2 linked regions of the Alligator mississippiensis genome follow. The protein of the gene in region 1 interacts with the protein of each later gene in a pairwise test. Links are inferred from orthologs where the notes say so. Each region holds a gene or a part of one and is shown in the gene's direction. Other genes may lie near its edges.

The links. The genes of interacting proteins can lie anywhere in the genome.
Region 2: the proteins of ABTB1 (region 1) and EEF1A2 interact in binary tests that used the Homo sapiens proteins (3 or more experiments, as listed by UniProt). The two-hybrid records come from large-scale screens. The link is inferred for Alligator mississippiensis from reciprocal best matches to the Homo sapiens genes ABTB1 and EEF1A2.

Annotation. Positions count from the first base shown.
Region 1 is NC_081835.1:18,874,449-18,878,191, forward strand, and holds the start of ABTB1 (ankyrin repeat and BTB/POZ domain-containing protein 1), read left to right. Parts: upstream 1-1,002; 5' UTR 1,003-1,182; coding exon 1,183-1,238; intron 1,239-3,743. UniProt on the Homo sapiens protein: May act as a mediator of the PTEN growth-suppressive signaling pathway. May play a role in developmental processes.
Region 2 is NC_081832.1:3,719,975-3,723,717, forward strand, and holds the start of EEF1A2 (elongation factor 1-alpha 2), read left to right. Parts: upstream 1-1,048; 5' UTR 1,049-1,175; intron 1,176-3,149; 5' UTR 3,150-3,218; coding exon 3,219-3,362; intron 3,363-3,743. UniProt on the Homo sapiens protein: Translation elongation factor that catalyzes the GTP-dependent binding of aminoacyl-tRNA (aa-tRNA) to the A-site of ribosomes during the elongation phase of protein synthesis.

The DNA of each region.
Region 1 (3,743 bases):
CTTTAACCCCCTCTTTGAATCCTGATACACCCAAAGTTTTAATCAACTGCTTGGGAGAGAGAGCAGCATTTTTGGCAGTGCTGAGGGAGTCCATTGACTTCACAGCCCGTTGTCATCTACTCCATCCCTTTGAAATTCTTCCACTGGTGTTAAGGACCCTCTTCTTTTTAATTGTCTTGCCTTCGTTCTGCAGTTCTGCGGTGTGTGACCTGCTCCTGGTAAGACAGCTCTTGTTTCCGGGCTTCGCAGGTTAGTCGTCACGCCGTTCAGTGAAGTTTGATTTGTTTTTGCTGCAATCTTGAACTGAACAAGGCAGCCCCAGGCCCCTCGCGCATTAGCAAAACACCTAGTTTCTTTTTAACTGGAGAAAAATATGTGTTTTTTTACCTGGGGTGATGCACCTCACCGTCGGCACCCCTCCACCTATGCATGCCCCTTTGCAGTCTAGAACAAGCAAGCCCCCCCTCCCAGATCAGACCACTCTAGAACCCACCATCCCATTCTGGAGCAACTGTGAGCACCACCCCCACCACCTGCCCTAGGCAACCTGAAGCAGTGCCACGCCCAGTCTAGAACCCCCCCCCCCATGCACCATCTGACTCCAGTGTGCTAAAGTCCTGCCCAGACACGTTCTAGAGTAAGGTCATAACCTCCCTGGTCTAGAACCTGCCACCAATGTTCTTTCAAGTCACCCTAAATGTTCTAGTGCAGGGCCACACCCACAGCCTAGAACCCCACTTCAATGTCCTATCCCAGCACCCCAGCAGCCATGCCCCTGGCTGTTCTAGAGCAAGGCCACGCCCCTGGTCGAAAACCCCACCGCAACGGCCTCTCGCAGCGCCCCGGCAGCCCCGGCCCTGGGTATTCTCGAGCAAGGCCACGCCCCCGGTGTAGAACCCCGCCCCCCGCAACGTTCCGCCCGCCCTCGGCGCTCTAGAACCCGGCCTAGAACCCGGCTCGTCCGCAGCGTTCTAGAGGGCGGGGCGTGGCGGGGCGGGGCTCCGCAGTGCCGGCCTCCTGCGCCCGCCAGCCCGCCCGCTGCAGTGTTTACATCCGCGCCCTCCAGCTCGGCCCTGCTCGGCTCAGCCCGGCCCGGCCCGGCCCCGATCCCGCGCCCGGTCCCCGCCCGCGCCCCCCGGCAGTGTCAATGCGGCGCCGCCGCGCAGCGCCCTCGCCCCGGCCATGGACACGAGCGACTTGTTCACGAGCTGCAAGAAGGGGGACGTGAGCCGCGTGCGGTGAGGCTGGCCGGGGCCGGGGCCGGGGCCGGGTTGGGGGTGACTCTCCCGGGCCAGCCCCCCGTGCTCCACCCCTGCCAGGGGCCCCGATCCCTGCCCTCTCCCCTCCAGCTCCTGCCGGGGGCTCGCTGGGGCACTCCTGCGCCTGCAGAGGCCCAGCTCGGCTGCGGGTCACCCCTGGCCCAGGACAGCGGGGTTGCGCCAGCGCCCCGTGCAGGGGGCCACGGGCTGCTCGGAGGAGGGGTCTGTGAACGTCTCTCCCCACAACTGGTTTTGATTTGGTTTGAAATAGCTTTAACAACCGGACTGTGTCAGCACTGCACGTCTGGAGTGACACCGCGGGCTGCAGTCCTCCTTCCCTTGTCCCACTCGCTCCGAGTGAGAGGGATTTGCCTTGGTGCTGGCAGCGTCTGTCAGCCCCGGGAGGCTCGGGTGCTGTTTGCAGGCAGCCCTAGCTGGGGGGGTTCAACTTGTGGCAACACTTCCTAGAAGCAGGCGCTGGCTGCCCCCGTGCCCCTGCTGCCCCCACGGCTGGTGAGGGTGTCAGGTCTGTGTTGTGTGGGGTTGATGAAAGCCTTGGGGAGAGTTTAGACCAGTGCTTCTCAACCTTTTTTTGTACTAGGACCCACTTGTAAACATCGATGGCCAGTCCCGACCCAGCGCCCCTCACTCCCAACCCACCGCCCCCGGTGTGTGGGATAGGGAGGGGTGCGGTATGGAGAGCCCCAAGCAACCCTTTGCAGCCTGGCACTCTGACAGCCTGCAAGTGAACAGCCACTTTTCCACATTTCTCTCCATTTTTAAAGTTTGTTCACACCCCTTTCATATATTCTTGTGGCCCACAGGTTGAGAAACGAGGGTTTCGATCGTGGTTTGTACGGGATGGTTTGGAGAGGGATGATCCTGCCTCCATGCGGGTCCCTGCCAGCCCCGCTTCTCTGTGATTCCGTGAACTCGGCGGGGGAGGCTGTGTGAATGCCTCTCCCCATGGTTCACCAGGCAGGTTTTGTTTGGCTGAAATTGCTTTAAAAATGGGGCGAGAAGCCTGCATAAAAGGTGCCCCGTCTGGACTGACACCACGGGGCTGTGGTCGTCTTTTCCTTTGCTGCCCTATATTCCTCGCCTTGCCCTGCCTAGAGATCTGCCCTGCTCTAGTCGGAGGGATTTGCAGGTGACTGCTGCCGTGGCTCTGGCTGGGCCTGAGATCAGCACCGGGGGCTGTGAGGTGATACATGCAAGCAATCCTAGCTGGCCTAGGCTTGGCTGTCAGCCAGACCCCGTGACCTGGAACAGCTGATGATACTAGATAGCTCAGACCAGTGAGAGGTGTTTTTTTTTTCTTTCTTCTTTTTTTTTTTAAATTAATAAACATGTTTTCCCAAGGAGCCAAGTGCCCAGTGCCTCTGCTTGAATGCGACTGGTTCTGCTTTAATCCTGCCCGTTTCCCCTTGGATCAAACGCCTGACGATACCCAGTCAAACCCTGCCACCATTCCTAGCGGTTCTGCGCAGGTTTCTACTCCTCCCCTTTGCCCCCCCTAGCTATCGCCTCTCCAGCGTTGGTAAATAGCGCTACAGATATAAATCACTGGAAGTTTGGGAAATACTGGGGCGCTTTGGGACTGAGCGTTAAGGGTATCTCTGTGATGGTCGACAGCATCTAAACATAAAAGGAAAAATATCTGTCGACTGATGTTGCTGGTGGCTCTGTGAGCTGGTGCGGGGGTAAATGCAGATTTCAGGAGTCTGCTCTCCAGGAATGAGGCAGCAGAGGCCAGTGGGGCTTGTCCGGGAGACCAAACTTCTGTCCCTCATCCTGACACTGACCTATTGGGTGACCTTGGACCAGTCACTTCATCTCTTTGGGCTTCGATTTCCCCTTCCACCCTTTGTCTTTTGTTTGGACTGTAAGGTCTCCAGGGCATGAACTCTTTCTGCTAGATCTGTACAGTGCCTAGCACAAAGGAGCCTTGGCCTCTGTCATGGCTTCCAGGTGTTACCATAATATATGTAATGTGTAAGTCAATCCCATGAGCAGAACAGTGCTACAGTTCAAAAGGCCGGCTCTTTGATACACGAGCAGAACTTCCATTCTTCTCCCTTCCAGCTCTTCCTATTGAAGAGTGTTTTCTGTACCTTGTAGCATTAAAGTCAGTTACTTCCTGAAAGTGAATCCCTTTTCCTCTGTGTGAGACTCAGTTAAACCTGCAGTAATGCAAGCTCTGTATGGCACTCTGTGCTAGCAAATGTGTTGGCTCATGCTACTTTTCAGCCTGAGGCAAAACTAGGAGCAGGCACATTTGTGTCAGAGCCAGGAGCAGTTAAAGAGCAAGAAGGGTGTTCTGTTTAGAGCAGTGGTTCTCAACCTTTTTTGGACTCAACGCCTCCCTTGGAAAATGCAGGCTCTTAGTTTCGACTGGTTTTTGACTGTGGAACTATAACAGCAGTTTTTCTACTGCAAAGAACAAAGACCAGAACAAGGCAGAATATTTTTAACACTATGGAT
Region 2 (3,743 bases), on another chromosome or scaffold:
TGTTGCATGATGACCCTGCTCCTTGCTGTAAGCAAATGTGATGCTTGCAGAGGATGCAACATTCAGGAGCCTGTGGACCAGTCCCCTCAGCCAGGCCCAGCACCGGTGCAAGGAACAGAGGTGCATCCATGTGCCTTGTTACCCCTCCGGGGTAACGAGCCAGGAGTTGTCCTGCCAAGACCCATCCACCCAGCCCCGGGGCTTTCGGGTACCAGTGAGGGCCACCTTGGCTGGTCCCTGCTTGCCCCTAGATAGGTCCCGAGGCTGCCAGCTAGGACAGCGCCGAGTCCCCGGCTGCCGTTACTTATTTATTTATTTAAGTGCATTTCCAGGGCCAAATCCGTTCTGAACTGAGTTCCAAATTTCAACTGAGCACAGCTCGCTCATTGAAGTCTGCGTGGCGCTACCATCGGCAAGCGTCCTCCCTTCCCAGACTCATCCATCTGTCTGGGGCTTTGGATCCTCCCACATCCCTGGCAGGCATCCTACGTGCCAGCCCCCAGCCCGGAGGGCTTGTAGTTAGCAGGCGAAGGCCTGTCGCAGGCAGGCTGACCCCTGCGAGAGTCTGCAAATGCCTCCAAATGCAAGGAGCTCTGCTATAGAGATTATAGCGGTGGGGATTGCTTTTGGGTTTTCCCCCAAGTTTGTGCCTTTTGGCTAGGGGCAGGTGAGACTAGGGGGTATCTGAACTCCAACTCTCGGCTGCCTTCAGACGGATGTGGTGCTTTCACCCTTTTGCCGTGTGCTGGATACCCCCGTACGTCCCTCCCAGCCTCTCCATGTGCTCATCAGTTGGCTAGGGGATGGGGTACCGATGCCCAGCCCAGCCTGGGTGAGCAACCCCTGCCCATCCCCTGGACCCCCATGCCACAGCAGCTCCCCTCCTTCCCTCTCCGTGTCTCCTGCCCAGCTCCTCCCTGCGCCCAGCTCTGTGTGTCTCTGCCTCTCCATCTCCCTCTCTCTCCCCATCCATCTCCTCCTTGCCTGAGCTCCCTCCTCCTGTCTCCTCCCCTCCCTGCTCTCTCTACTCCCTCCCTCCGCCCGGTACCGCATTGCTGTAGTGCAGGGGGTCACTGCATTGCGCTGGCACCGTCAATAGGTGGACCCCCTCCCAGGGAAATAAAACAGCCGGAGCCTAAGCTGGCAGCCTCTGCTGTCTGAGACCACAGCTACCGGTAAGAGCTCCCAACCCAGCCGCAGCTAGCCGGGGAGGGTGGTGGGCAAGGGGGTTGCACCCACCCAGGCGGCCTGGAGAGGGGAGCAAGGGGTGCAGCTGGGTTGTGTGTTTGCAAGCGCCTGGTGCATCCAAGCCTGCAGCCACTGACCTGCTTTGCTGGGGGGTGGGGGGGGGGGGTGCAGCCATTAATAGCCACAGTCTTAACAGAATATGATTTAAGAAGTCCCAGGTGGGGAGGAGAGCAGAGTTAGGTGCCTTGTCCTCTGGAGGCAGAGCTCCGGCTTCCCCTTCCAGCCAGCCCAGATGAGCTGGGCAGGTGTGGGTGGGGTGGGGGGTGCTGCTACCTTTGCTCGGTGGTAATAGCAAGGCTTTGACCTTGATCCCCAGGAAACCGCAGGAGCCGTGATGCTGTGGATAGGGCTGCATATGCCCCTGGATCATGGTGTTTGCATAGGAGACAGCACCCCAAGGCTAGGAAGGGCATAAGAGCCCTTAGCTGAGCTGAAGTCACCAGGGCTAGGTGAAGCTGGGTTTAAACCTAACCCCAAAGAGAGGAGTTAGGGATGGGGGGGGTGCTGTGTTCCCCAACCCCATCGGGGGCACCCTCAACTCTTCCTTCAGCTTGTAAAAAGGGAGATTTTCGTACCCAAGATGTCGGACCCTCCCACCCCCTTGCAAATAGAAGCAGCTGGCATCAGGAGCCCTGGGAGAAAGAAAGAGGCTGCCTAGAGGTTTCTGAAACCCTGGCAGCCGGCATGGCAGCTGGAGGATGTGAGACGCCTGCCTTTGAAAGAGCTGCCTTTGCTGTTGTTCGGTGCTAGCACGGATTAGCCCCCACCCCCGGTTTCATTTCCACAAGGCTCCCCCCAAGGTCTAATGGGGGGTGGGAGGACTCCCTGCTCTCCTGGAAGGCTGCTCTCCGAGGACGTTACTGCCTGCGTGGCTGAGTCTGTATGACGGGGGCAAACTTTCCCTGACCTCTTTTACCTTTATGGGCAGCTTCATGATGACATTGGATTTTATTAGATGTCCAAGCAGGCTCCTGCTCTGGCTGGTTCGTGGTGCAGCTGCAGAGCGTGGAGATGCCGGGGCAGACAAACGGATGGATTGCTTTTCCTTTCCTCTCTACATTTTATCTTGATCCTTGGAGGAAAAAAAAACCCATTGCCAGCTCAGGCACCAGCACCCTGCTTTCTGCAGGCTGCCTGACTGCTTCCAATTCAGCCGCAGGCTATTTTTGTCCATTCCCTTTTGTGGGCACCATATTGTCATCCCAACCACGAGCTCCGTGGGGGAGAGCTCGATGCAGAGAGGCGGAGAGGGAGAGGAATCTGATATCGTGCTGAGTCCCTCTCGCGATATGCCTAAGCCAGCATGGATGCCCGGCAGCTTCCCGAGAGGAAGGCAGCATGTGAAATGGAGGCAGCATTTAGTTATTTCAAATGCAGAAGCTCTGGGAACGAAGCAGTCTTTCCATAAGGGGGTGCATTTGGGTGCAGTGAGGGGGCGAGCTTTCTATCTAGAAGGGCTTTAAGGGGGTACTAAGGATTAGGGCCCCCCTCTGACACCTGCCTTTCAATATGCATTCCCCAGGGGCATGGGCACACCTTGTTTGCAAAGGCTGCAAACATGGTGACTCACGTTGGAAAGGCTTTACGCAGCACACAGAAATAGGGCAGTGAGCCCCCATCATCCCAGAGACAGGCGGGTCCTTCCACCGCTGCCCCAAAGAGGATAGCAAACAGGCAAGCCTAAGCCCATCGGGCCAAGAGTTGGGTTGCTGGTGCCGGTAGAAGGTGGGCTTTAATTCACAAAGAGGACAGAAAAATAGTAATATCTTTCTCTGTATAGAAACCTTGTCATTCAGAGCCTATGCCTTGCTGAGGGCAGTGGGAAGATGGGGTGGCCCTGGGGTTTTGCTGCTTTTTGGGGTGTCAGGACTCATGCAACATCCGTGCTTTTTCCTCCCCAGCCTCCACAGGAACGCAGCGCCGTGTCCACCGCTTCGCTAGCGCCAGCCCTTCACACCTAGCCCGCGAGGATGGGGAAGGAGAAGACACATATCAACATCGTCGTCATTGGACATGTGGACTCTGGGAAATCCACTACCACCGGACATCTCATCTACAAATGCGGGGGCATTGACAAAAGGACCATTGAGAAATTTGAGAAGGAGGCTGCTGAGGTGAGCTGTCCCGCCCTTACCGTGCCTTCCCCTTTGTCTCCTCCAGAGCAACCGGGCGATGGAAAAGACCCCTAGATCATATGGTGCCTGCCTTGAGCAAGGGGCAGGCCTAGATGACCTCCCAAGGTCCCTTCCAGCCCTCCTTTTCTAGGATTCGATCTCCTTTCATTGGATTGTTCCCTATGGTCTATTTGCTCCCTTCGCCCCTTGTTAGTCCCATTTCCTCTCTTTTTTCCCCATTCTTCCTCTTACCTCTGGGCCTTTCCAACACCTCTGGCCTTGGAAAAGTAGGACCTTTTGGCCTAGTCATCCTGTTGCCTGTGTTTTCCTATCCACCTATGGAAGTCATGGCCACAGGATAGCCATGAGGGTGCAAGAGCT